Linked DNA regions of Lonchura striata. The protein of the gene in region 4 purifies or fractionates together with the protein of the main gene of each other region. This does not show direct contact. Links are inferred from orthologs where the notes say so. Each region holds a gene or a part of one and is shown on either strand. Other genes may lie near its edges. The genes, in order: LIMD1, ANAPC1, SAV1 and LATS2.

The links.
Region 1: the proteins of LATS2 (region 4) and LIMD1 purify together in Homo sapiens (affinity purification with mass spectrometry; 3 studies listed by BioGRID and IntAct, with this or other methods). This does not show direct contact. The link is inferred for Lonchura striata from reciprocal best matches to the Homo sapiens genes LATS2 and LIMD1.
Region 2: the proteins of LATS2 (region 4) and ANAPC1 purify together in Homo sapiens (affinity purification with mass spectrometry; 3 studies listed by BioGRID and IntAct, with this or other methods). This does not show direct contact. The link is inferred for Lonchura striata from reciprocal best matches to the Homo sapiens genes LATS2 and ANAPC1.
Region 3: the proteins of LATS2 (region 4) and SAV1 purify together in Homo sapiens (affinity purification with western blotting; 4 studies listed by BioGRID, with this or other methods). This does not show direct contact. The link is inferred for Lonchura striata from reciprocal best matches to the Homo sapiens genes LATS2 and SAV1.

What each region holds. Positions count from the first base shown.
Region 1 is NC_134603.1:111,426,436-111,433,471, forward strand, and holds the start of LIMD1 (LIM domain-containing protein 1), read right to left. Parts: upstream 3,010-7,036; 5' UTR 2,849-3,009; coding exon 1,711-2,848; intron 1-1,710. UniProt on the Homo sapiens protein: Adapter or scaffold protein which participates in the assembly of numerous protein complexes and is involved in several cellular processes such as cell fate determination, cytoskeletal organization, repression of gene transcription, cell-cell adhesion, cell differentiation, proliferation and migration.
Region 2 is NC_134605.1:27,745,925-27,753,756, reverse strand, and holds the start of ANAPC1 (anaphase-promoting complex subunit 1), read left to right. Parts: upstream 1-4,812; 5' UTR 4,813-4,925; coding exon 4,926-5,138; intron 5,139-5,921; coding exon 5,922-6,083; intron 6,084-6,210; coding exon 6,211-6,262; intron 6,263-6,825; coding exon 6,826-6,935; intron 6,936-7,088; coding exon 7,089-7,171; intron 7,172-7,832. UniProt on the Homo sapiens protein: Component of the anaphase promoting complex/cyclosome (APC/C), a cell cycle-regulated E3 ubiquitin ligase that controls progression through mitosis and the G1 phase of the cell cycle.
Region 3 is NC_134608.1:2,199,263-2,206,379, reverse strand, and holds the start of SAV1 (protein salvador homolog 1), read left to right. Parts: upstream 1-4,099; 5' UTR 4,100-4,202; coding exon 4,203-4,296; intron 4,297-5,675; coding exon 5,676-6,107; intron 6,108-7,117. UniProt on the Homo sapiens protein: Regulator of STK3/MST2 and STK4/MST1 in the Hippo signaling pathway which plays a pivotal role in organ size control and tumor suppression by restricting proliferation and promoting apoptosis.
Region 4 is NC_134604.1:71,597,774-71,604,743, reverse strand, and holds the start of LATS2 (serine/threonine-protein kinase LATS2), read right to left. Parts: upstream 3,008-6,970; 5' UTR 2,857-3,007; intron 1-2,856. UniProt on the Homo sapiens protein: Negative regulator of YAP1 in the Hippo signaling pathway that plays a pivotal role in organ size control and tumor suppression by restricting proliferation and promoting apoptosis.

The DNA.
Region 1 (7,036 bases), on a different chromosome or scaffold from region 4:
AAATCTCCTACAGGACAAAGCCTCCTTCTGCCTTGCATCCTTATTTTGTGACAAAAATGTAAAAGTAATCTAACCATTAACTGGGTTCCTCTGCCTCCTGAGCCCATCCCCAGGCACATTTTAGATGAGGTATGATCCAGCTGGTTTACTGAGAAGACACAGCAGGGTCTGTTGGAGAGAACCCTGACACCTCTCCAGTGGAGCTGAATGTCACCTCCAGAAAAACATTCCCATTTTCGAGCATCACCTGCCGCGAGCCTGCTGTCCCAACACCATCTCCTTTATCAGCTCCTTGTCACGGCATTCAGGCTCCCCTAGCGAGGCTCCCTGATCTCATTCAAACCGCGCGCTTCCTGCACAGGACGGAAAGTGCCAAAACTTGTTTCCAGGCCAAAACACTGTGAGTAGAGCAGCTGAACACATCACTTTTCTGCGACAGGATAAAAAAATGCCCCTGCCCTGCCACAGGGCTTAATTCAGTCTCGGATACCAAGATAAACAATCCCGGCACAGCCCTATGCGGGCAAATCCCCCTGCCTGCTGCCAAGAAACACATTTTGTTATGCAATCTGCAGCTGAGCGCTCGGTGGTCCCTCCAGCTACATCCCAAATCTCGGCATGAAGCTCTTGTGTGACTCAGACCACCACTAAGCCACCCACCGACCCCACCAGACAGGACCCAGTGCAACAGCACCTGTGCTGGCCGAGATGCAAACCCTTCCTTAGTACTAGGCTGAAGAGTTTAATTTGTCCCTCTTCTACTTCTGCAACTGCAGGTCTAAAATAATGAGAAATATCCATACACCTGGCCTGCTCCCATAGTTTCTTAAATTAACCATGGAGTTTCCAACCTTCCCAGCAACTCTGGGCTTCCCTCTCCCAAAAGCTGAGCTATCTTATCTGCTGTTAAATTGTGAAGTGGCACAGCAGGGAAAGGAAACACGCAATTTGACCCTGACCTCCTGCCATCCTGGGGTAGCAAATCAATTTAATCCAGAAGGACATTCAATATTCTTATCAGGAGATCCTCGTACATAAGTGGTTCCTTTCCACTGCCAAGTGCCAGCGATAACCTCTGGTGGTGGTCTGGACTCATCACAGACCCCAGATTTAGGGAAGAACGTGCCTACTGCCTGTTCTGACATCTTCAGGACATACCAATCATTTCACTGCTGATGGGATCCAGCACCTGGAGGCAGAGGGAAATCCTGGCAATTTTGGGAAACCACCGCCCTCCCCATCTCTGAGACACTTCTCCCTCCCCTGTACTCCGTGCCCTTCTCCATGACGGCTGCCTATGCAGGCAGGACTGCCCCGCAGGCTGGATGGCTGCCTTCCTGCCCGTGGTCGGGACACGTCCTTCTAAGACACAGAACCAGTAGTATTGTCAAAAAAAAGTTAAGTGCCTCCCTGCTGGCAATGAAGGGCACTTCAAAATACTCTGTTCCAGCTTCTTCCTAGCACTGCCGCCCGCCCCCCAAAGCTGCTAAACTACCTTTGCTTTAAAATTACAGAGGTAGGATTGAAGAAAAAGGTGTTGCAGGAGGAAGAGCTTCTAATCCCAGTGATAAATAAAAGTTAAATAAAATAAACTCTGCTCTAGGCAACTGACAGAGCACAACCAAGCAGATGTACAGGCAAATGCAATCCTGCAGGTCTGAACCCTGCCGTGACACTTTGCAGTGAGCGACGGGCGGATCGCCTCCTTACCAAAGTAATCAGCCTTTGGCCGAGCATCCATCTCCTGCTCCAGCCGCTGGGTCAGTGCCTCCAGCTTCAGCTCAGCCGCCGATGGCCCTTGCTCTGGCTGCGGAAGGAGGGTCTGGCAGGGCAGCTTCACCTTTGCTGCGCTGGAGCCATCCAGGTGCCCCGAGTCTGACCGCGGCCCGCTGACGGCCTCCGGGAAAAGCCTCTGCGGCGCACTGGGAGCCGGCATCCCTCGCGAGGCCAGGCGCGAGGAGCCCGCCTCAGGGCTCCCGCTGCTGCCGGCGGGCCTGTGGGTCTGGCCGCGGGCCACCAGCTGACTGCCCGGGCTGCGGTATTCCACGCTGGGAGCAGCGGCTGCGGAGTCTGGCGGGAAGGACACCGAGACACCCTGGTACCACGGCTGGCCGCCATCTCCTCCGGCTTTGGGACCGCAGGGCTCAGCGGAGCCTGAAAACCCTCGAGTGGGCTGCGCTGAGGGTGCCGAGAAGGATGAGGACCTCTGCTGCGGCGGGGGCTCCTCTGGCCCTACCGAGGGTGCCGAGGGGATCCCGGAGTTTGAGAAGGAGGAGCTCTGTCCGGCCGGCATCGGGTCACGGCCCCCGACACCTCGCCTGCCCTGGCCGCCGTTCTCCTGCCCGCCGCGGCAGGGCAGGGGGTCGCCGAGGCTCCCAGCCTGCTGCTCCCCGCGCCCCACGCCAGGCTGTGTGCCCCCCGCTCGGGAGATCCTGTCGGGCTCCGCTTCCCAGCCCCGGCGCCCGGCCTGGCTCCCCGGGGCCCCGGCACGTGCGCCGCTCTCTCCGAAGCCCCGCTCCCCTCCCTCGCAGGGCCTCGCTCGCGGCCCCTCGGCGGCGGGGGGCGGCTTCGAACCCCGCGCCACCGGCGGGCTGGGACGGGGGGGGTGGAAGGCGGCAGCCCCTCCGTTCATCGCGGCCATCAGCATCTCCTCCTGCTGCTGCTGCTGCTGCTGCTGGAGGTGGATCTTGGCCATCTTGGTGGCGAACACCCGCCTGGTCTCCTCGAACTCGGGGTTGTTGCCGGCACCTTTGTCCACCCGAAAGAGACCGTCCTTGGAGGCCTCGTACATGTTGAGGTCCTCGATGAACTTGCTGGCTTCCAGACCCAGATCGTCGTACTTGTCCATCCTGCCCGGCTTAGCGGGAAGACCCCCGCCGCCTTCTTCTTCTTCCTCTTCCTTCTCCTCTCCTCCTTCCCGCCGGGATCAAGGTAACGCCGGCAGCGGCAGCCGCTCCGTCCCGCCGCGCCCGTCCCCGCCGGGGGCGTGGCCTGGGGCGCGGAGGGGGCGCGGTCACGGAGGGCACGCCCCGACCCACCCGCTGACCGCGCCCAAGCCACGCCCAGCGCCGAGCGCGCTGCCCGGCCCGCTCCGCAGCGGGCGCGCGGTGTGCCCGGAAGGGCGCGGTCCCGCGCACGTCCCGCCGCGTCCGAACGGGCTCGGGAAGGGCGCGGGTCAGCCAGCACAGCTGGGAACGGGGTGCGCACGGTGGCTAAAGGCACCCGAGTGATGCAATGAAAGTGGTTTTGCCTCGTCTCTGGATGAGAATTCCAGAGTCGGATGATATTCCTCTGGATGATACTCCTCTTTTTCACCCTGCAGCCCGGAAACCTTCCTGAAGAAGCCTTGTGAAAAATCACAGGCGCCCTTTGGGTAAAACAAAAACAAACAACAGCCCTACTCCCCCATGAAAAACTGCGAGGAAAATCTCATCCCATAACTATTGGAGCAATAAGTATGTATAGCAGGAAATTATATTACTTTTCTTGGTGTAAATAGACATTCTATGCTGGATATCATGCTTAAGTTAGCATGACTAAAGGAACCTGGATCACTGCAGGAAGACGACCCCTTGCCTGAAGAATAAAGGATACCTCTGGATGCCCAAGATAACATCAGCATCCCAGCCTTCCAGGCACCTTTGGGAACACCCTCACCCCATTATCCAGCATCATACATGTAACTGCAGCAAGACCAACTCCAGAGACATTCAGATTAGGAAAGAAGCAGATGGATCATGACATCATAAAATTATTGTTGCTTTGGAATTTGGTAGCATATGTGTGATACATAGGGACTGGGCAAAGCATGTTGTTCCCAAATGCTTAGAAGGTATAGGAGCTGTCTGTAAAACTGCATTTGGGGTGCCCCTATGTGATTGGGACACTTCATGTCTGTGATGAAAGACTTACTCCTGTGAATCTACACTTTACTTCTCAGTCTCCCTCTTCTGTCAGCCTGGGCCAGTTGCAAAATTTTCATGGCAAAACACAGCCTGGAACTGCTCAGAGGTTGGGGGCTGCAGTAGGAACCTCTGCTGGGTTCGTGAGAGAGGCTGGTTGGTAGGTAGCTGTCATACCCCTGATAAAACTTACTGGTGCAGTTGATCCTACAGGCCCAGGCACGTGTCCGGCATTCCCATAACTTGTTATTGTAATTCTCCCCCAGGCACCAGGAGGGAGGGCCAAATGTTAAGGAATGTGGAAATTCTCTGCCTTTAATAATGGCGAATTGGGCTGTGACCAAAACATGACAGAAATAAAAAAAAAAAATTCCCTCCCCTCTTTGACCCATTCCCTTACAAAAATACTCCTGAGCAACTGGGGCCAGACCTGTGAGATTTGAATTAACGTGCTTAAAAATGATGGCACTGTGAGCCTCTGGAAAAGGTGCCTTGCCTTTCAAGGCAACCTCGTAACTGCTGTGGTGTCTCCGAAGAAGCTCTGAGCAGGACCGAGAGGCTGAGGCAGGATGAGCTGGAGGCTGCAGCAACAGCCTTAGGCTGGAGCTTGAGCTGATGAACTTTGGACTCACAAAAGTTAGCCCAGCCATAGCACAGCTTTAGATAAGGAGGTTTATGGTTTCTAGGGAAGACAGGTGGATGGGAATCCCAGCACAGGGCGAAGCACAGCAGTGGAGCTCCCCCAGTCCTCAGGACCTGGAGAAGTGGCACCCCAGCACATATTGCTACTAACCATGGCCTGACACTTTTTAAAGATATTGAAAATGCTGGAGCTTTTCACAATATCAGAGAAATATCCCAAATATCAAGCAGCCCCATCTATCAGACCTTTCCAAGCCCTCCTCTGCTGTGAGGATGAGGGTAGGAGGGGTCTCATGGCTCTATCAGGCTGATCCCCACAAGCCCCGTTTCACTTTGTGAGAAGCTGGGTCCCTGGAGGCTAAACCCCACTTTGCACAAGTCCCAGGAGTTCAGGAGGAGTTTTTAGACTCTGTCTGGTGTACACTGTACAAAGACAACAAACCCCTGCCTGTGCCAGGGCTCTTTGTGCTGGAGTGGAAGGGGTCCCATTTTTGTGGCTGGGAGAGGCCACAGTGGCCCCCATCAGCTGCTTCATGCCAGGCTGGTGTAGGCTCAGGTCACCAGTTACCAGCGAGAGTGACTACCTCTTTTGTGGGTCTTGACCAAAACTGTCAAGTCTGAGGTAAAGCTCAGCTGGGGCAATGAAAGCCAAAACAGTTTCAGTGTCTAAAGAGCATCCTCAGAAAGGGCTCCTGGAAGTATGTTTTTAGCAACATCCTGGGCTGACCAGGAGAACCACAGCAAGTGACTGAGGCCTGGGATGCCTCCTCCTCATCGCTGGCTTCAGGATGCTTTTGGAGATGGGCTTAGCTGAGGTGCTTAGCTTTCAGTCTGACCACTTTTATCTAAAATGGGCAAGCTTCAGTGTTCAAACAGTAAGTAACAAAAAATTGGTTCTGAAGCACATATTCAGTTCATATTTGTACAGAGAATGACAGAAAGGAAACAGAGCATCAGGTAGATAAGGATGAGAGCGTGAGCCCCAGCACTGCTTTACTTGCTGGAGGAATATGCAACGTGGACAAAGAGCAGTTGGAAAGGAAATTACACATCGTGCTCCTTCTTGCCTCCTTCTACCCAAAGGATGTGAAGTTAATCAGGAGAAGCCATGTGCCTGTGGATGATGTGCATCCAGCACATCAGAGACTCAGACTTGTGTCTACTGGAGTTTTTTTTAATTCCAACACACTGAGATGAGGCTTTTCCATCCCTCTAAAAAACCACCCATTTGGTGGAGCAGAAGGATTTGGGGGAAGATATCTCTATTTTCGGCTTTCAACACAAAAACCAAGGAAAAATCTAACTTCCATCAGATCATGTATTTTAGTTTTCTTTTTTAGGGTCATGCACACATTTTCTGCCGTTACTTTTTATCTAACATCTGTAAGTCCTTTTACAGTCTGACCTGGAGGAGCTCACCACTTTGCAGGGGGAAGGAGTGGGGGGAAGCAGACTTCTTGCCAAATGGCTGCTCTGGATGCTGCTGACCTTCACCAGCTATGTAAAGTACATTTCCTTCCTATGCCAGAGGATCAAATCAGCTGTCTGCAGAACAATGCTTACACGGACGGCATGGAAAAGGCTGCTGAAGCCCTTTGGATAGGGAACCCCTCGCACTGGGCTTGGTCTCCTTCCAGGCTCCGCATGCATGAGCAGACACTTTGATGGCAAGCGCCTTCGAAGGGGGATCACTGCCAAGCGATTCAAAGGCATCTTGGAGTTGAAACTGCGACGCTTTCCGTGAACATCAGGCAGCAAAACACCTTTGAAACTTCCTGCTCAGATTTATTCTTTTCTGTGAGATTTGTGCTAGGGGTATTCCTAAGTGAGCAGATGATTAACTTGAACTTTCTACTAGACTGGAGATGTAATACTACACTGACTTGCAGACCCTTCTGCTGTGATTAGATATGCTCCCACATGTTTATAGTTCCTGTGACATTTACAGCCCATGCCTATTAAGAAATTAAGGGGTCTACGATTGCTGTTATAACACAGGACCAAGATCTATGAGCCAATTTGAATTAACTTATTCTAAACCCTACCCCTTGAAGAGAAAAAAAAACCAAACAAACCAAAAAACCAAAAAAACGTTGCTCATTTAATCTGTTTTTGTTCCTGTGGGCAAGGCTTACACACTGCATTTATTAATGCAAAATAACGCTGACAGCTTGTAATTCAGCCCCGCTCCACGTGGCAATCTCAGCTGCCCATGAGGTGGAGGGAGGCAGTGATTTGGGGAGAAGCAGCCCCGAGCGGTGTTCCAAGCTTTTGGCTGCACCTCGGTTGGAGTGCTGGGCACATCACCGCAGCCTTGTGCTGGGGCAGTGCCGCTCTCCAGGGCCGGCAGGCTGGGGCACAGCTCTGCCTGCCCGGGTAAACGGGGAAGTCGCGATTGAGAGCAGGAAGGGGATCATCCGTCTTTGTTTCTTGCTGCCACGTTGGTGTCTGGGCTCACATTGCAGAGAGATGGAGAAAATGTGAAGAAATTC
Region 2 (7,832 bases), on a different chromosome or scaffold from region 4:
TGTGCCATCCCTGGCAGTGTCCAAGGTGGATGTGGCTTGGAGCAGCTTGAGCTATTGGAAGGTGCCCCTGGCCCGCGGCAGGGAATGGGATGAGTTTTAAAGTCCTTCCAACCCAAAGCATTCCATGATTCAGACACTTGTAGAGTGACAAGGTCCCCCCAAACACTTGTAGAGAGTGACAAGGTCCCCCCTGAACCTCCTTGTCTCCGGGTTGAGCCTCCACCCCTAGCTCCCCCAGCTACTCCTGGTGCTCCAGACCCTTCCCCACCTCCATTCCCATCTCTGGACACACTCCAGCACCTCTAAGTCTTTCTTTTCATGCAGGGCCCAAAATTGCCCCCAGGATTTGAGGTGAGGCCTCACCAGTGGTCACACAGGGGGACGGTCACTGCCATGATCCTGTGGCCACACCACTGCCATTGGCCTTCTTGGGCACCCGGGCACACCTGGGCTTGTGATCAGCCACTGCACACCTCGGACCTTTCCCAGCCCCTCAGCCCCAGCCTGCAGCGCTCCATGGGGTTTTTGTGACCCAAGCGCAGGACTGGTCACTTCACCCTATGGAATCTCACTCACCCCATTGCCCTCTGGCCTGCCCAGCATGGGAATGCTGTGCTGAAGGCACTGCTCCTTCTCACCTGGCCCATACCAGCAGGATAATAGGGAACAGGGACAAAAACAAGGAAAGGAGGAAGACCCAGGGGAAACCAACATAAGCCATTAACCCAAGGCAAACTGAACAGATCTCTTGTGGCATGGGAAGGAAACAAGGGAGTTTCTGGATATTCAGACCCTGCCCCAACACTGGCCTTGCATGGGGACATTTGGGACCAAGGTGTATCGGGGTCATGCGTGTTCCCCTCGCCTGCTGCCTCATGGGAAGGGACTGGGATTTGGGGAACCAGCATCCTGATGATGTGGCTGAAGGGCACTGGTATTTCTCTGCACCAACCTTTCTGCTCCCTGAACCTGTGACACAAGTCACTGCCTGCTGTACTCTTCCCAAAGAATAGAAACACACCACTTTGAAGCCTTTTCCATCTGGGAAGAAAAACCTCCTTAAGCTCAGCTAAAAAACTGCAACAGATCACTCCCAGTCTTCTTTGACTTGCAAAGTTGCTTATTCACTGCACATTCCCAGGCTTTGGTGACAGGGATTGAATTTTCATCCCAGCTTCCCATATCTTGAAGCCATCAGCAGCCAAGGAAGGGCTCATGGACTTGGAGGCCCCGAGGAAAGGGAAGAAGGAAAACTCACTAAAACTGCTGCAAGAAGTTGGAGCATCTTCCATGAAGATCCAGCAGCACTGCTTTTCCTTCAGATGTTGGGCATATTCCCTGTGGATCCAGCATCCCTCAGGGAGCAGGACAAGACCAGGGACAGACATTTGTCCCATGCCTGTCATTTGTGGTCAGCCTTTGCTACATGAGTGCACTTTGATCTGGCTGCATTCCTTGCTGCTCCTGCTGGCTTTGCAATTTTTGGAAACAAAGCAATGGAAAAGCCTTTGGACTTTGTGGGCTGCAGGCTGGGAATGGCCCTTGCATCAGGATACAGTCACCCCACTAACACAGGGTGAGGAAGAGAAGCAGATTGTGCAAAAGAGGAATTTAAAAAATAAACAAGAACATGCAGGACCATAAAGAGGATTTCAACAGCTCCCAAAAATCCCCTGATTTGGGTCATTTCTTTGCAGCAGGTTGGGTTCTGCTCCAGCTCCAGAGGGTTTGTTGCACAGCCTGACGTGAGGAACAGGTTGAAAGGGAGGAAAAAATCGGAGAGGAGAAATCAGAGGAGAAACTCTCAGGTGATAGGAAAAGCCTGGAAGCAGTTGGCAGGAGCCAATCTGGCCCCTTTGGCTCTAGGATACCTCAGTGCCATCCTCCTGCTCCTCACAGCATATGGAATACTGGAATGGTCTTTTTTGAAGCAGGTGATGGATTTCCATCCTCAGAGCCCAAACTCAACAGTTGCTGGGGAGTATCCCCACAAACCACTCATGGTTTTTGGCCCTGACTCACCAGATCATGCCAAGCAGCATCCCCTGTTCCCACTGCCTGGGTTGGGAATCAGGTGGCATTTGGCCCTAAGAATAATTCCTGGGGCAGTGGGAGAGGCAAAAAGGCAACTGGTGTCAAAAGAAGGAGGGACAACCTTTCCTGAGCAGCAGGATCAGCCCTGAATCAGCTAAACCAGTCACTACCCAAGGTTATCTGATCCATCACCAGCAAGGAGGAGTCCATGTTTTCCTGCTGTGTCCTGCACCAGAGGGAGAGATCCTTATCTTCACAGCCTGGGTGAGAAGGTCCCAAAAGATCCCTCTCTGCAGGGATCCTCAGCTCTTCCTTGGCGGGATCCCAGTGATGCAGGTGTCTGAGTCTGACCCATACTTTGCAGTTTCACTTCAGTGCATTGACTCTGTTTCCTCACCAGACTTTTGGGAGACCTTGGATCCAATTTTTCCTTTGGGAAATCGGATTGTTTAGCAGAAATGGCACTTGGCAATCAGACGTGTGGGCTTTTGTCTGCTGAGGGTATTTTCTTCCCAGCTATTTATGTGTTTTTATTTTCATTTTGCTAAATCATTCCTTTATTCCTGCTTCCTCTTTGGGCCTATTTTTATTTTGATTTTCAGGGGCTCCTGTTCTTTCAAATGCCAAACTCCTTTGGCAACACGTCCTTAGCTGAGGGCAGCTGGCCCGTTTGTGCTCAGTGCTAAACCCCAGACACAGGATGCGGCTCCCAAACAATTTGAAGGGAAAACCGGAACTTTTTGTGATGCCACTAAAATGCCTTTTTCTTGCTGTGCCTGTTCTGGGCACTGGGACACCCTGCAGCTCTTACCGGGCACATCCTGTCCCTTGGCTTAGCTGGCTCTTCCCAGAACAATTTCTCCTGCTCTGCAAATCACTTTGCGAAAGCAAAGGTTGGACATTGGCTTTTCCTACCCTGCTTCTCCTTTCTGAGAAGCACTTCTGTCTCAGCTTAAACCAAAGAAACCCAGACTCCAGTTTCAAGTATGTTTTCAATTCATCCACAGCTTCTCCCTTCTTTGCTTATTGTGAAACTCATGTCTTGAAAATAAATAATTTGCCCTTTCAGTTCCCATCAAGCTACTCCATACATGTTTTAGAGGAGGGTTAGATGGGATATTGGGAAGAAATCTTTTCCTGGGAGGCTGAGGAGGCCCTGGCACAGGTTGTCCAGAGATTCTGTGGCTGTCTCATTGCTGAAAGTGTCCAAGGCCAGGTTGGATGGGGTACAAATCCTATGAGAACAGAAAGGGTTGTAAAGCACTGCAAGAGGCTGCCCAGGGAGTGGTACAGTCGTCATCCCTGGAACTGTTAAAAAAAAAAACAAAACATGTGGACGTGGCAATTGAAGACATAGTTTAGTGGTGAACATGGTCGTGGTGATGGCTGATGGTTGGACTTGATGATCTGAACGGTCTTTCCCAACCTTTGCTCCTATCCAGGAGGGAGAGGGGATGGCACAATCTCCCTCCATTCCAGACAGAACAGCCCCTCCTATGTGACAGAAGCGAGGATTTTAGCCGGGATAAGTCAGCAGAGCCCAGACTTACACAGATTTATGCTAATCCATGTCACAAGCACATGGAATGGTGGCAAGAGAGTTGTACCCATGCCCGGGGTGGCTGCAGAAGCCTCATTGGTCCCACAAAGTAGCTTCTTAAGCACCGTATCAGAGAATTCCAGAATCCCAGAATGTTTTGTGTTGTAAGGGATCTCAAAGATGATCCAGTCTCACCCATTGCATGGGCAGGGACACCTTTCACTATCCCAGGGTGCTCCAAGCCCTGTCAACTTGGTCTGGAACACTCTCAGCATGGGGCAGCTTCTCTGGGCCAATGTCCATGTCTCGAACACAGATGGCCATGGAGCTGAATTGTTGGGAATAACGGACAAGGATTGTTGGTACTAAATGCCAGGTAAATGAACAAGATGTAACTGGAGAAGGGGCCATGCAGAAGTAGGGCAGGGCTTTTCTGGAACAAACATCCTTGTTCCAGTTCAAGAGACACAATAACAACAACAAAAAGAGCATCAGCACAGAATTCTTTCTTCCTTTATGTCGGAGCCCCTTCAGGCGCTGAAAGGGGCTCTAAGAGCTCCCTGGAGGCTTCTCTTTTCCAGGTGAACACTCCCAATTCTGATGGAGATTGAGCCTAAGATTGGATACATCTTCATCCCACCTCCTCTTTGAAAAGCAGTTTAGGAAACAAGAGGGTTTATTCTGTATCTCCTTTACCCTTTCTTCCTTTTTACATCACTGGCTTCCATCAAAATCACTCTACATGGACTCTGATTATTCTTTATCCTGGGATGCTGGGATGATTTGGGTGGGAAGGAACCTTAAACATGATCCAATTCCTTGCCATGGGCTGGGAAACCTTCCACTATCACAAGTTGCTCCCACCTGGCCTGAACACTTCCAGAGATGGGGCAGCCACAGCTTCTCTGGACAACTCTTCCAGTGCTTCACCACGCTCACAGGGAAGAATTACTTCCCAATATCCGTCTAAACGTATCCTCCGTCATTTCAAAGACAGTCCAGCACGACCCCAGGCCGTGAGCTGGGCGATCCATGACGGAAGTCGCCACGGGAGGACAGCAGTCCCCAACCACCGCCGCCCGGCAGCGCCGTGCCAGCGCTCGGCGGGACTGTGGCACCGAAAGGGCATTTTGGGGGAAGTCTCCCCCGAGGATACGCCGGGAGGCACTGGAATGCCGCAGGACACGGCGGGAACAGGCGCGGCCATGGCGGGGCGGGCGCGCGCGGGGCAGCCCGGGAGCGCCAAGATGGCCGCGCCCGCGTGAGGGGCCGCCGGTGCCGCTCCCCGCGCGTCCAGGTGCCCGCGGGACCCGCCGGCGCGTCCCGGAAATAATGAGGATATCGGGGCCCCATGTCGGACCACTGTGACGAGAGGGCGACGATGATTGCGGCCGGCGACCTGCAGGAGTTCGCGCCGCGGGGCCGCGAGCAGAGCCGGCGGCACCCCAGCGCCCTGAGCCTGCAGCTGCGGCGTCTGCAGCCCGCGCCGGAGCTCTGCTCCTCCGACGGCGCCGCAGGACTCGTGGGCTCCCTCCGAGAGGTCACCATCCACGACCGGCAACGGGTACGAGCCTTCCTGAGCTGGGCGTCGGGAGGGAAGGGAGCTTGAAGCCCATCCGGCTCCCGCCCGCCGCCGTGGGCTGGGACACCTTCCACCAGACCGGGCTGCTCCAAGCCTCCTCCAGCCTGCCCTTGACTTCCAGGGATGGGGCAGCCTGCGCCAGGGCCTCACCACCCTCCCGGGGAAGAATTCCTTCCCGATATCCCACCTAACCCTGCTCTCTGGCAGTAGGAAGCCATTTCCCCTTGTCCTGTCAATCCAGACTCGTGTCCAAGTGCCGCTCCAGCTCTCTTGGAGCCCCTTTAGGCACTGGAAGGGGTTTTAAGGTCTCCTTGGAGGCTTCTCTTCGCCAGGTGAACAGCCCCAGCTCTGCTGGAGTTCGAGCCTAAGATTGGATCCATCCATATCCCAGCTCCTCTCTGAGAAGGAGTTCAGGGAGGAAGGGGGTTCACTCTAAATCTCAGAACTCTACAAAGGGTCTCCCTTGCCCATTCCTCCCTGGCTTCCATCAAAATAAATCTAAATGGATCCTGATTGTCCTTACCATGGAATGCCAGGGTTTTTTGGGGTTGGAAGGGATCTTACGGATCATCTCATTTCACCTCCTGTCATGATCAGGGACACCTTCCACTATCCCATGGTGCTCCAAGCCCCATCCAGCCTGGCCTGGGACACTTCCAGGGATGGGGCAGACACAACTTTTCTGTGCCAGCACCTTGTAACTGGCCTAACTCATCACACCCGTGGGTCTTGTGGCTTTTCTTTTGACAAACCTCTGTTTTCCAGGAAAGCTGGCAGCTGAGGAAAGGCATCAGTGATGTCGGGGAGGAGGTGGACTATGACGAGGAGCTGTACGTGGCCAGCAATGTGGTCATCTGGAGCAAGGGCAGCAGAAGCCAAGCGTCCACTGTGTACAAGGCATTCACCGTTGACAGCCCCGTCCTGCAGGTACAGAAATGTGGGAAAGGGGCACTGAGGGAATCCACAGACCCTTTCTAGGCAGGGAACAGGGGAAGGTGACATTGTGTGGGAGCAGCTCGTTCTGGAGAATTAATGATGCTCTGTTGGGTTTCAGGCCTTGTGGTGTGACTTCACTGTGTTCCAGGAAAAATCAGAAAAAGCTGATGGTGAGTGTCCTGCTTCTTGTGCTGCTGGGCAAATGCTCTGAGTTCAGCTTTCTTGGCTTTGAGTCATGGAATTGTTTAGTTTGGGAAAGCCCTGAGAGGCCACCAAGTCCAGCTGTTGCCAACGCCACCACAAAACCACATCCCCAAGTGCTGCATCCACGTGGCTTTTATAGCCCTGTGCCTGTGTCAGGGCTGGATACTCTTTTGGGGAAGGAATTTTCCCAATATCCACCCTGAATCTCCCTGGTGCAACTTGGGTCTATTTCCTCTCATCCTGTCCCTTGTTCCCTGAAAGCAGAGCCTGACCCCAACCTGGCTGCACCCTCTTGTCACAGAGTTGTGCAGACCCGGAAGGTCTCCCCTGAGCCGTCTTTACACCAGACTGAGCTTTCTCTGCCAGTCTTTGTTTTCCAGCCCCTTCCCAGCTCCATTCCCCTTTCTGGACACACTCTAGGAGCTCATTCACCACGACTTGAAATGTCAGAATTTACTTTTTGTGTATAAGGGATGTCGGAAACAGAGTGAAACTTCACTGTGTAATTGTTTTGTTCCTTCCTTTCCAGTGTCAGGCAATGACGAAATAGTGGAGAAATGTATCTGCATTTTGCAGAATTCCTGCATAAATGTGCACAGCATGGAGGGGAAGGATTACATCGCTGCTCTGCCTTTCCAGGTAACTTCTGCCATGCTTTTTGTCCACATTTATGTTTCCCTGCTCTGCGCAAAAAGCCTGAACATCGTATTTTCCTATAAGACCCTCAAACATCATCAACACAGCACATGGTTGATGTTTTTATCCCACCATAAATCCATATTTTTTTTATAGGTTGCAAATGTCTGGCCAACCAAATATGGGTTGTTATTTGAGCGCAGCAGTTTTTCCCATGAGGTGCCTCCAAGTCCACCCAGGTATGAGCTGAGGAATTTGGGTGGTTTCCTGTTGGATAATCTAATAAGGAATGGAAAGTTGAAGGGCAGTAGTGAAATATCCGTGTGTTTCTGATAGAAAAAGGTGGAATTGGGTGGAAAAGGAGGAAGTTATGTTTGACCCTCCCTGGAAGTGTTCAAGGAAAGCTTGGATGGGGCTTGGAGCAACCTGGGATGGTGGAAGTGCCCCTGCCCGTGGCAGTGGATGGAATAGGATAATTTTAAGATTCCTTCCTACCCAAACCATTCTGGGATTTTATTGATGCATTTCTTCCAGTCTTTTTATATCATCCCAGTGACTGAGTGAGCACACTCAAAGCTGAGTGTTAAAAACTATTTGGGTGTGCTGGTCCCAGGAATAGGATCTGGGAAGCACCAGCCTGATTCCATTAAATTTGTCCTAGGAATTGATTTCAGGCTGTCATGGTCAGCTGGGAGAGTCACTGAGGGATTAGCATCGAGACATTATCTCTCAGCTGCAGGATCCCATTTCCTCTTTGGTGAGGATCCCATTCCCTGCAGAGTGGGGATCCCATTCCCTGTTGGCTGAAGCTTCCAACTCTTGTGGAAGCCCTCTCTGCATCCCAAAGGAAGCAGTTGGACAATGTGCTGATGAGCAGCTTTAATCCACTCTTGGGTTTTT
Region 3 (7,117 bases), on a different chromosome or scaffold from region 4:
GCCATGTCAGATATGAACTACTTCATTACACAAAGTGTTTTAAATGTTTTCAGCTCTTTATGAATCACTGTGAAAATAAAGGCACATAGACATTTCAGGTTGGGGGTTTTGGAAGGGGACAGACCCCAGGTTAAATAGAGGTGTACAAAATTGACACAGTTGAAGTGCTGCTTGTCAATTTAGAATGATTTAAAAGTCTACATGGTGGCACATGCTCCAAGTAGTACTTTAAATACAAGGAAAAATTGAGTTGTTTGAATTCTGGTTGAGGAAAGAAACAGGATTTTAACATATTTGGTTTTAGCCAGGTTATGTGTTACAGCAGGGGGAAGAGTCTGGATTGATCAAGAGTAAAATCTTTTTGTTTACTTCCAGCACATGCCATCCCTGTCACTCAGGTTTTCCATCATTTACCTGTCCAATCTCCTGTTTGGTGTCATTTTATGACAAACAACTTCTGTATAAAGGAAAACAAATGTATATTATTTTTTTTCTATTGAGTTTGTTTTGTTCCGGTGTAATATATTGTCCTTAGAACATCATGTAAAGCCGAGAGAGGAAGCAACTGACACATTATTTATAATGAGTATAAAAAATACATTAATGTACAATGCATACTTGTGTCTTTTTGGTTTTTATCCAGCATGAAAATAATAGAATAATTTGGGTTGGGAGGGACCTAAAGCCCATCCATTCCCACCCCTGCCATGGCAGGGACACCTTCCATTATCCCAAGGTTGTTCTAAGCCCTGTCCAAGCTGACCTTGGACACTTCCAGGGATCCAGGGACAGCCACCACCTCTCTTCCCATGGATGTTGTAAACACTTCAAATAGTATCTGCAAGTTTATCAAAGGCATGCACAATAATAAAAAGGATGGCTTGACAGCTGTGAAAAAGTAGTTTTTGCATTACAAAAGTATGACATTGAAGTGTAAAAAGCTGACAGGTAGTGAACACACCTTGGCTTCTGTTCAGCTGAAGTTGCATCCCTACTCTTCGCCTTTATATGGGAAGTATTGGGGGCTCGTTGCAAGATTTTCACACAGTCCTGGGGTGGGAAAAGCAGGAGGGGACCAGCGTGGGTCCCTGCTCCTGGTCAGGCAGGGGGACGGGGTACAGAACTGTGCCTAGTTCTGGGCTCCTCATGACAAAAAACACCGAGGGGCTGGAGGATGTCCAGGGAAGGGAACAGAGCTGGGAAGGGAATGGAGAGTTCCTGAGGAGCCGGGAAGGGAATGGAGAGTTCCTGAGGAGCTGGGAAGGGAATGGAGAGTTCCTGAGGGAGCTGGGAAGGGGCTGGAGAGTTCCTGAGGAGCTGGGAAGGGGCTGGAGAATCCCTGAGGAGCTGGGAAGGGGCTGGAGAGTTCCTGAGGAGCTGGGAAGGGGCTGGAGAGTTCCTGAGGAGCTGGGAAGGGAATGGAGAGTTCCTGAGGAGCCGGGAAGGGGCTGGAGAGTTCCTGAGGGAGCCGGGAAGGGAATGGAGAGTTCCTGAGGGAGCTGGGAAGGGAAGGGAATGGAGAGTTCCTGAGGAGCTGGGAAGAGGCTGGAGAGTTCCTGAGGAGCTGGGAAGGGAATGGAGAGTTCCTGAGGGAGCTGGGAAGGGAATGGAGAGTTCCTGAGGAGCTGGGAAGGGAATGGAGAGTTCCTGAGGAGCTGGGAAGGGAATGGAGAGTTCCTGAGGAGCTGGGAAGGGAATGGAGAGTTCCTGAGGAGCTGGGAAGGGACTGGAGAGTTCCTGAGGGAGCTGGGAAGGGGCTGGAGAGTTCCTGAGGGAGCTGGGAAGGGAATGGAGAGTTCCTGAGGAGCTGGGAAGGGGCTGGAGAGTTCCCGAGGAGCTGGAAGGGGCTGGAGAGTTCCCGAGGAGCTGGGAAGGGAATGGAGAGTTCCTGAGGGAGCTGGGAAGGGGCTGGAGAGTTCCCGAGGAGCTGGAAGGGGCTGGAGAGTTCCCGAGGAGCTGGGAAGGGAATGGAGAGTTCCTGAGGGAGCTGGGAAGGGAATGGAGAGTTCCTGAGGAGCTGGGAAGGGGCTGAGCCTGGAGCAAAGGAGGCTCAGGGGACTTTGTGGCTCTCACAGCTCCTGCCAGGAGGGGACAGCCGGGGGGGATTTGGGATCTGCTCCAGGGAACAAGGACAGGAGAAATGGCCTCAAGTTGCTCTAGGGGAGGTTTAAATGGGATACCAGAGAAAATTTCTCCACAGAAAGCGTTGTCAGGTAGCAGAAGGGGCTGCCCATCCCTGGAGGTGCCCAGGAAGGCCGGGATGTGGCACTGAGCGCTCTGGGGACAAGGTGGGCACCGGGCACGGCTTTGGACTCGTTGATCCCGGAGAGCTTTTCCAGCCTCGGAGATTCCATGATTCCATCACTGTGGGGTTCTGTCGCTCTGTCATCCCGGGGTTTCTGTCATTATTCCAGGATTTCTCTCATTCTGGGATTTCTGTCATTCCAGGATTTCTGTCACTCCGAGATTTCTCTCATTCCGGGATTTTTGTCATTATTCCTGGATTTCTCTCATTCCAGGATTTCTCTCATCCCGGAATTTCTGTCATCCTGGGATTTCTGTTATTCTGGGATTTCTGTCATTATTCTGGGATTTCTGTCATTATTCCGGGATTTCACTCATTCCGGGATTTCTGTCATCCCAGGATTTCTCTCATTCTGGGATTTCCGTCATTCCAGGATTTCTCTCACTCCGGGACTTCTGTCATCCCAGGATTTCTCTCATTCCAGGATTTTTGTCATCCCGGGATTTCTGTTATTCTGGGATTTCTGTTATTACTCCGGGATTTCTGTCATTATTCCAGGATTTCACTCATTCCGGTGTTTCTGTCATCCCGGGATTTCTCTCATTCCAGGATTTCTGTCATCCCAGGATTTCTCTCACTCCGGGATTTCTGTCATTCCGGGATTTCTCTCACTCCGGGATTTCACTCATTCCGGTGTTTCTGTCATCCCAGGATTTCTGTCATTCCGGGATTTCTGTCATCCCGGGATGTCTGTCATTATTCCAGGATTTCTGTCACTCCGGGATTTCTGTCATCCCAGGATTTCTCTCACTCCGGGATTTCTGTCATCCCAGGATTTCTGTCATTCCAGGATTTCTCTCATTCCGGGGTTTCTGTCATTCCAGGATTTCTGTCACTCCGGGATTTCTGTCATTCCGGGATTTTTGTCATTATTCCCGGATTTCTCTCATTCCAGGATTTCTCTCATCCCGGAATTTCTGTCATCCCGGGATTTCTGTTATTCTGGGATTTCTGTCATTATTCCGGGATTTCACTCATTCCGGGATTTCTGTCATCTCAGGATTTCTCTCATTCCAAGATTTCTGTTATTCTGGGATTTCTGTCATTATTCCAGGATTTCACTCATTCAGGGATTTCTCTCATTCCAGGATTTCTGTCATCCCAGGATTTCTGTCATTCCGGGATGTCTGTCATTATTCCAGGATTTCTCTCACTCCGGGATTTCTGTCATCCCAGGATTTCTGTCATTCTGGGATTTCTCTCACTCCAGGATTTCTCTCACTCCGGGATTTCTGTCATCCCCGGATTTCTCTCATTCCAGGATTTCTGTCATCCCGGGATTTCTGTTATTCTGGGATTTCTGTCATTATTCTGTGATTTCTGTCATTATTCCAGGATTTCACTCATTCCGGTGTTTCTCTCCTCCCAGGATTTCTGTCATTCCAGGATTTCTCATCCCAGGATTTCTCTCACTCCGGGCTGTCTCCTCCCAGGATTTCTCTCACTCCGGGCTGTCTCTCCTCCCAGGATTTCTCATCCCAGGATTTCTGTCATTCCAGGATTTCTGTCATCCCAGGATTTCTCATCCCAGGATTTCTCTCCTCCCGCCCGCTCCGTCCCCGCCGCTCCGCCTGTGCCGCGCCCTCCCTGCCGCGCGGGGGCGCTGCGGCCGCTCCCGCGCTGCCCCGCTCCGCCTGTGCCGCGGCCTCCCTGCCGCGCGGGGGCGCTGCGGCCGCTCCCGCGCTGCCCCGCGGCCGTGCCGGAGGGCGGCGGCCGCCGCCTTCCCACAAGGCCCCGCGCGCCCGCCGCGTCCCCTCAGCGACCCCGGCCCCGTCCCGATCCCCGTCCCCGTCCCCATCCCAACCCCGCTCCCGGTCCCGGCTCGGCCCCCGGGGGCGGCTTCGGAGCGGGGAGCGGCGCCGGGCATGCGGGCGGTGGCAGCGGGCCGGGAGGTGGGATGCTGTCGCGGAAGAAGACGCGGACGGAGCTCTCCAAGCCGGGCGAGGTGCAGGGGAAGTACGTGAAGAAGGAGACGAGCCCGCTGCTGCGGAGTGAGTGTCGGGGGCTCGGGGGGCCCATCCCGGCCTTCGTGTGCGGCGCGGCGGGCCCCGGAGCTGCGCGGCCGGGCGTGAGGGGGAGTTACCCCTGTGGCTGCGTGTAAGGGTTATTGCTCCCTGTAAATGTGTGCTTAGTGCTGCTACGAGCCCTGGGAGGTGAAAGCTGAAAGGAAGTTAAAGCTCAAAGGAAGCTTCAAAGGGAGCCCTGCTCGTTCCAGCGTTTTCTTGGTGGGGTTTGTGATTTTCTCGGTGGCTGTTTCAGCAGGCCTCAGGGGTTCAGAGTTGTGTGAAATGAAGCCAAGAGCTCTCAGGGTGTGCGGGATGGGGAAGGTGCCTGCGGCACGGGCGGCCAGCCCGAGTTGTTCTGGGTTCCGTCCATCCATGAGCCCGCTGCCCCACCTGGGCATTGTCAATGAGATAACTGTCCCGCCAGACAGGTAAAATATCGTAAAATAAAATCCCTGCGGAAACAAATGCTGCAGCTCCTGCCCGTGGCTCAACCTGGGCTGCCCCTGGCTCTGATGCCGCAGCCCTGCGCTCCTGAGGCTGGACACCACAAATGCACACCGAAAGTGTGCTCAAGGTTTGGTTTTGTTGGTCTTGAAACACAACCCGACGCTGAAATGGGTCTGTGTGCTCAATAAATTGACTGCTGACACCTGGGGTGCACCAGATTTTAACCGTAAGCTGTAAGAGTTTATGAATAAAAAGTAATTGACAATAGGAGTAACGTCGTTCTAAATGAAAATTATCATCTATATTGATTTATCTGGAAGGAATCTATGTATTTATATCGTGTTGAAAGTAAAAGTAGGGAGAGGAGGAATGTTTCACATACTGGAGGGAGGCAATGAAATTCTAAAGGAGAAAGTGAACTATCTCCCTGATAATTTGAGAACTTAATGCTTATGGAATGACATCGTTTTTCTGGCTGAACTTTGTGACTTTGGGATTAGTGGGGGCAGCGTGAATTCTATCTTGGATTCCTGTGGGCATTAATATCTTGTCATTCCCAGTTTGTAAGGACAACATTCCCAAAGAAGCAGTAGCCAAGATATGTGGATTTTTTCTGAGAGATACGAACCCTGACTGATACAGCCACAGCACAGTGTGGGTGGTTTGGTGTTTTGTTCTTTTCTTGTGTGGTTTTTTTGATGGGTTTGGGGTTGGTTTGTTTACTGCAGCTGCAGTTTTACTGGCAGAATGCTCAGCGGGTTCCTGGTGTGGTGTGTGCGCCAGGATTCTCTGCAGCGTTACCACCACATTTGCACAGGCGTTAGCGGCTCCTGCACGAGAATTCCCCCAGTTTGAGTGTGTAAATCACCGCGGCTGCTCCGGCAGAGTTCTCACCTCTCCTCCGTGCTCTCTGGCAGATCTGATGCCTTCCTTTATCCGCCACGGTCCGACCATTCCACGACGAACCGATATCTGCCCTCCCGACTCCGCATCCTCTGCCTACGCGCCCGGCGGCGATGGGATCGTGTCCCGCAACCAGAGCTTCCTCCGAACTGCGGTGCAGAGGCCGCCCCACGAGATAATGAGGCGAGAAAGCAACAGACTGTCCGCACCTTCCTACCTGGCCAGGGGCTTGGCGGAGGTGCCCAGGGAATACGGCTCCTCCTCGCAGTCCTTCCTGGCAGAAGCCGCCCCCGGGCTGGAGAACGGCGACGCCGGAGCCCGCGGCTATTACTACGATCATTTCTACGATGCCCAGAGGAGACGCCTGCACGAGGACTACAGGTATTACGAGCACAGCAGCGATCTTTTCCAGAGGATGTCCCAGAATCATGGGAGGCACACTTCAGGTAAGGATTCGTTGTTGCTTTTGTTAAAATTCCGGTTTTGGTGAGAGTTTGGGTGCAGTTTGGGGAGTTTGGATGATCAGGATTGTGTCTGAGGTGTGTGGGACAGAGCTGCTTTTTCATGGCATTTCTGGGATTTGGGTAATTGGAATTGAGGGTTTGGTCACAGATATCCAGAACAGAAAAATAGACTTAAACCAGGATTATTTTCTTAAATAAATGGAGTAAGGCCAAGCAAGTTTTGGGGTTTTTAATGCCAGGCGTATGTACATCTTCTCTACACATCACTTGCTGGCTAGCAGGGAATTTTATTTGTTGGGGGACATCTCCTATTTTCATAATGTAGAGAATAACCAACAACTCTAAATTACAACATTACATTATTATTATTATTATTAATGTTAATATGAATATTAATTGTTATTGTTATTAGCATTACATTTTAACTATCGTCTTATTACTTCATTTCATTGTTTGAATTTGACTTCAATAATAGAAATAATTCCTTACAAATAGTCATAGGGAAGAATGACTGTTTTTTGTAATTAGTAAATTGGCATCTAATTAGTGTTGGCATTGACTCCTTAATCCTTGACTCCTTTCGTTCAGCTTTTAAAATTGTTTGTAAATATGCCTGTTCCCCTCTTAGTTTCACTGGAACTTGCCTTTGTTTCCTAAAACAAAACAACATAAAAAAGAAAAATCCATTACATACTACTTTTCTGAAATATTTGACTCTGATATTATAAAAACTATGCCCAAGAAGGAGTTTGGAACATTTCAAACCTGTAAATAACATCCCTTCAATATGAAATACATTGTCACTTGTAATCTGTGAACAAAGTAGTAATTAGTGGCTAATAAAATGAATCTCCTGTCTAGAAAAAGAAATCTGCCAGGAAGAACATCAGCTTTTAATGCTGCTGACCTCATGTGTGGGATTAGAACCTGTCAGTGCCTTCTTCATCAAAGAAACACTTCCATGAAAAATGGAAATGCCAGCCAGGAAATTC
Region 4 (6,970 bases):
TACAAACTCTTTTTGTTGTGATAGCTGTAGCACTTCCCAAAAAAACAACCATTTCCATGCATTTATCATCATTTCTCACCACCAAGCAAACAGCTTACTGCTGTGAAGCCCAACAGAATCGGGACACATTCACTTCTGAAGCCCACAACCACCCCATCAGGACAGAGTCTACATCAGGCTTTCCTCTACCAAGGTCTGAAATGCAACAGTGCAGTCAGACCCCAGACTCTTCTATGACAGTTCACCAGTCTGAAATGCAGGAGCACAGATTAATCGCTTGATATTAACCCAAGTCAACATTTTTTGTTAGGATTTAAATGCTCCATTAACTAAAAACCACCTATAATGTGTTTGAGGACTTGAGCTCCTCCATTCAGTGCTCTGCATTAATATACTGCAACGCCAACTCACAGAGAAGTGACAGCAACATTTGCCAATTGTTTTAAGGGAAGTGCTAAAGCTGTTCATCCAAATTTTAATGCTTCCACAAACCAGCTATTGGTCAGTAACAGATCAAGCTTTCATTGTCCCAAGCAAAACAAAAGCAACTGCAGGATCTCAAAAAAAGTTTTTTATTTCTACTTGGACAGAATATAGCAAAAGATAATACACAGGCTTGCTAAAAAATAAAATACAATAGTATTGCAGCCTTCTGTGGATTACATCATAACTAGCTAGTGCTTAGTAGATACAAAGCAATTAACTGGTCGATAATTTTCTTTCTTTTCCTGACAGCAGAAGGCACCATATGGCTTGGTTTAGGCATCTAGGTTGTTCTTCCTTTTCAGTCCCTGTGCCAATCCTCAGGCCTGGGACGCACTGGGAAAGCTTGCAAGGCCCCCACCTTTTTGCAGCAAAAGACTGCTTTCCCACTTACACACATGCTTCACATAAAGAACTTCTGTGACCTTTAGCCTCAGCTCGAGTCTAATAATGCTGGGTCAAGCCAGCTGGCAACTTCCTTAGCTTTACATTTACAATACTGCTTAAACCAGAAAGAAATGTTGCTCGCTTAGACAGTATGGATGAGAGCAGCAACAGCAGCATTGGAGCTAACTGCAAACCTGTTTCATATTTTGCAGAGTTTTTTTTTTTTTTTCTTAACTAAAAATGTAAGATAAGTAAAACAAAAAAAAGAACTAAATATTACAGATGATTTACAAGGAAAGACAAGCTGCTGGCTTTTTTATATCTTCCTGTGATCTGCATTTTTCAGAAAAAATCATTAAATGGTTGTATGCTTTAAAAGATATGTAGTGTGTCTCATTCTGTCTAAGCATTTTTAACTGTACATCTGGATTTGGATAATTTCAAATCCTTCTAATCTGCACCCTGCCTGCAGCATAGATATAACAACAGCCTTCCTGCCAGCAGAAGAAATTATTTTTGAGCTGTTAGCCATTCTGACTAAACAATCCTAAGGTCTTTTCCAAAATGTTACATGTTCTGTACTAGTTAGAAACTTGTCCATTATCCTGAAGGATAATGGACACTTCAAGCAGGTGCAGCATTACTTTAATTACATCAAGTTAAACAATTACGGAGTAACTAATTGTTTCATTTGAGAAACACCAATAGCTGCTCTGTCAGCAACTAAACAACCGATCAATGACACACTGAAATTATACGTTTATGTCTGTTTTCCCAGCAGCACTATCTATTCACTCTCCTGTTTCTTCATTCACCAACAGGCTGCATGTGCTAGCGGCTCACTGGAGCTGGGACACAGGCAAGAAACTAAAGCTTACCCAAGCTGGTGAGCTGTTTCCCTGTAACTGTGCAGGCATGGAGTGGGCTGAACTTGAAATCACTGCAGTATAGGAAGGAGTAAAGTTTTAAGAAACTGCTACAACTTCCTTCTATCTCTCAATTTACAGCGATTGCTTTGGGGGCTTTTTTAGAACACCAATTCAAGAAAGCAGGGACTGTTCACTTTGTGTTGAAGGTCTACAATGGGGGGGGAAAGCGTTTCAGGAATTTCATTATTATACAAACCGTGGTCCTCTTTATAAGTGGGCACATTGTGGAAACGGAGAAAAGTGAGAAGGGGATTTTCCCTAAAACGATTCTGCCTTTCCTGCCAACAGAACTGTCCAAAACTGACTCTGCCCGTGTCCCACTGCCAGCCACAAGCACCGGCCCAGCTCAGGGCTGTGGGAAGCAGCTCACCTTCCCCCTCCACAGCAGCCCGGCAGTGACTGACCGCAAAGTCCGGACACTCCAAACGAGCCCTTTTTGCGTCATTTGCGCGAGTGCCTCTCCCGGGGAAAGGGGTATTTCAACACGCACGCCGCTCACGGAGCGGCGGAGAGGGTGGCGAGCTGCTGGCTTTCGGCAGTGACCTTCAGCCGGCCGGGAACAGCGGGTGCCCCCGCGGGCTCTGCGTGCCCCGGCCAGCTCCCCGCGGCCCTCGCTCCCTGCCACACCGGCCCCGCAGGGTCTGCCCCGCCGGGTCGCCTCGCACCTCCTGCCGCCGGCAGCCCCTTCTCCCCCCACTCCTCTCGTGGGCAGAAAGCTCCCAAAATAAACTCCGGCCATTTACTAGAGCTCCGGCCAGCTGGGGCAGAGGCCTCGGACAGGCGGACCCCCAGCCCGCTCCGCCGGAGCTGCGCCGCGCTGTCACACAAGTGTCCGGAAAATGTCGGAGGGCGCGGGCAGGGCGCCCGGACTGCCCCCGCCAGGGGACTCACACGCGGGACGCTCGCTCCCGCTTCCAGGACCGACCCAGCTCCGCTCGCCCGCACCCCCCGCTTCCCCACAGGAATCTCCCTTCCGCGCGGAGCAGTTTTGGGGGGTGGGGAGCGCTCCGCCCGGAGCTGAGGGGGAGCCCGCGCCCCCCGCAGTCTCTCCGCTCACCTCCCGGGGCGCCCGGCGCCGCCGCTCGCCCTCCGCGGTCGGCTCGGCGCGGCTCAGCAGCGGCGGCGGCGCGGGCCGCTCTCCATCCTCCCCCTTGGCCGTCCCGGGCGCCGAGTGCGGGGCGCAGTCGGGACATTCGCTACATTGTTGGCATTCCATTCGCGCCACGTGACCCGCGGCGCCCGCGTCATTCCACTCCCCTCCCGGCGCATTCCAGCGGGGGGAGGGGCTTCCAGGGCGGGAAGGGCCGGGAAGGGCCGGGAAGGGCCGGGAAGGGCCGGGAAGGGCCGGGAAGGGCCGGCGCCCTCGGGACCGGAGCGGCGCGGGCCGCCCGCGCTCCGCCCGCCGGCCCCTCGGAGCGCCCGGCCGCAGGGGCACGGGCAGGAGCAAGGGACGCTTTTCCCCCTCACAAAACCCACTCCGCGTCACAGCAGCTCCTCGCTGGGCTCTGGCGGGAGAGGGGTGGCACTGCCTCCACTTGTTGCGGCAGAATGGGCCGGAGTAGAATCATGGAATAGCTTGGGTTGGAAGGGACCTTAAAAGGCCATCTAGTTTCAAACCCCTGCCCATGGAGGGCACCTTCCACTAAAACAGGTTGCTTAGAGCCCTATCCAATCTGGCCTCTGACACTTCCAGGGATGAGGCATCCACGGCTTCTCTGGGAAACAGGTGGCTTGGAAATGCTCTTCCACTCACCGCATGCTCCAAACTAATTTAGATTGAAAGGTGTGTGCTGATAACCATTATTTCTGCCAGTATCCATCGCATGCTGGACTAACCAGACACATAAAGTTGCAGCACTGATCAGTGCCTTCTTAGGGTTTCCTTTTGGTTTCTGGTTTGCTTTGGGGTTTGTTTGTTTTTTGTTTGTTTGTTTTCTTTCGAGGACCAGTTACTTGTTTTTCATATTGTTTCATAATGGTGAGGAGACAAGGGAGCTGTGAGGTATCAGAGATCAGAGGACAGACAGGGAATTCACATCTGGAACAAAAATGCAGAATGAAGCTGCAAAGGATATTTGGATACAAAGTTCATATTTGACCTTGCTATGGATGGAAGTACCTGGAACCAGATTCATAGATTCACTAAGACTGGAAAAGATCTCTGAGATCATTGAGTCCAACCATTAACCCAGCACCAATGTGTTCACCACTAAATCACATCCCCAAATGCCACATCCATGTACCTTTTGAACACTTCCAGAAGTCCTGACCTCCCAACTTCCCTGGACAGCCCATTCCAATGCCCCAACCACACTTTCAAAGAAAATTTTTTTCCTAGGATGCAATCCAAACCTCCCCTGGCACTACTTAAGGCCATTTCCTCTTGTCCTGCTGCTTGTTACCAGGAAGAAGAGACAGACTCCCACCTCACTAAACCTCCTTTCAGATAGTTTTAGAGAGCGATGATGTCCCCCTGTGAACCTGTTTTACAAGAAAGCAGGAATAATATAATTTTAGCTATCTCTCTGGTCTTAAATAAACACAATTCACAATGAGAAATAATCCCCACACTCCCAAATACATTAATGTTTGGATGTGGGACGCTGGCTAGTCATAACCAGGGGGTATTCATACAGAGTAAAAAAACACAAGAAAATAAACTTTCTTATATATAGGCATATATCTTTAGATCATTAACATGGAAGAAGCCTGCAGTCCTGAAATTCTTCAAAATTCTTAAAATCCTGTTGCACAGCTGAGAGGTGCTCATTGTGGGGTTGCTCTGTTTGGCAGGGAAAATGTCAGTCTTGCAAACTGTTAAGACACATTTAATCATGTGATGAGCCCCAGTGTCTTCCACAGGACTGCAAGCACAGTCTGTGCATAACTGTCTTTCCAGGATGGGAGCTATATTTACAGCCTTTTCCAAGCCAGGGAGACTATTTTTGTAAGTAATATACTTATGGACAGTCCTATCTCAGGATATTTCTCTGAGCTTGCTTATTGTAGTTTTTTTTTTTAATGTCTTCCATGCAAAATTGTCAATAGTGCCTATATGAATGAATAATGCTTATTAAAAACATAGTGCTTATAAAAGTCCTGGTTTGGGAGAAGAATAGAGTGCTGCATTTCAGGAGAAAAATGCAGCCTGCATAGAAATTGTTTAGCATCTCATCTGAAGGCAGTCAGTTACTGTATATAAATTGCTGTCAGAATTTCAATAGTGTCATTGACTGGAATATATTGTAGGGCAGGGTCAGGGCGGGGAAAGAGGAAACTTTTCTCTCACTCTGGAAAGCTAAAGATAAGGAAATCCATTAGGTTCAGACCAGATTCCAGTGTTGGCAGAATATTGCAGGAAAATGTGGGTCATTTTGCAATCTTCAAATACCTGCAAAACTGAAGTAAGTTTTAAATGATATGACAGATGCAGCATGGCTTCATTTTCTGAATTACTGCTGTGCTTATCCGATGAAGCATAGCAACATGATTGCCCAAACCAGACATTGCTCAATGGCTTGAGACCTTTTCCCAACAAAGTTCAGGCTGGTTTAAAGGAACAGCATCAAGATAAAAATTGCTTACTCTGTGCTATAATACCCTTTTGTAAGATTTACTTGTTAACAGCTTTCTTAAATCTAAGTAAAAGATATTTTAACTTACTTTTCTCCTTTGGAATTTTTTGTTTTCCTATTGCATTCTGATCCATCTGGGAATGAGACTCAGTTGCACGATTTTGCTTCCTGGTTCCAGCCAGCTGCGCTTTCTGAATTTAACGCATTTGCACAGAATTGGGAATAGAATTCCCACCAGCAGAGCAGAAAGTACAGGGGAGATGGGTTGCATCCATCCTCTAGAAGGTGCCCGTATTCAGCAGGTGCACCACAGATGTAAACACTCTGTAGATGGTTTCTGGTTTTACCCTTTTAGAAACGCAAACTAGTGGAAATTGCATTCCTCAGAAATACAAGGGAAATTGAAGTCAGCTAGGTTGATACAACAACTTGGTTAAAACATGATTTGATCTTTCTAAGGTTTTTGGAGGTTACTGTGAAAGTAATCTCTTTGGAAATTACCATCAAGTCTTTCTTCCCAGCTATCTTCTCCCCAGAAAGGCACCTCCAGAAGGAAAGATGTTCCATAAAAAGAATAATGCAATTTGGGCTGTGCCAGCAGCAAGTCTGTTCCCAGAGTAGACTACGAGATAATAATCGACCATGAGTAAGGGTCATTGTGTTCATTCATGGTTTTGCTTCAGGGAGTGATGCTACTGGGTCTGTGGTGATAACAGCACTCATCTGCTGACTTGCCTGAGCAACTGTCTTGCCGTGTGAGCAAGTGGGAAGGACCACAGATCCACTATTTCACATTCTTTCTCCTTCCACCCACCTGCAACAACAAGGGTGGTGGGAGCTCTGCGCAGCTCCATCCTGACATCTGATGCTGTGTGTTGCCTCATCCCCTCCTTGTACTCTTGTTTCACTGTTTGCTGGGCCACAGTGTCTCTTTCTAAATTATTGTATTTGGAACCATTTACCAAATTGTGCTGCTAAAAATACTCCTAACAACCAAGTAATTATGATGTAGGTGGATGAACCTTTTCTTTACACAGTACTAATCGCCACTAAAAGCTTGAATCCCTTCAGAAAACTTGAAAAAGTAAAGCAGGAATATTATCAGCAATGCTTAGTCCTCTGCTAGTTTTTTTTTCAAAAAGAGGAACACACACATGTGAAATAATAGTGAACATCTGAACACATGTAAGCATACATACACAAGGAATTTGCTGACAGTGACATCCTGTTTAGAATAACAGTGACATATTTAGAATAAACCAGTGTGATGTAACATGAATGATGTGCAAGAAAAAAGACTTTACAATGTCACTGAAATGTTCTTGTTTCAACACATTGATTCTCTTTGCAGAGTGATACTGGGGAATCATTCTTCCCTAATCACCAATGCAAAACCAGATTGAGACAGCAGTTCTGAGTTCTCCAGCGCAGTACAGACAATGCAACCTATATGTGAATATAATATGCATGCTTAACCCTGATGCAAAATTGCATTTCTGATGGTCAAAGTTAGGCTCAGTACTTCAATAATTGAGTAGGTAAAAAAAATAAACTATAACAAAATTCTAAGTATGGTTTAGGTATGGTTTTTTTTCA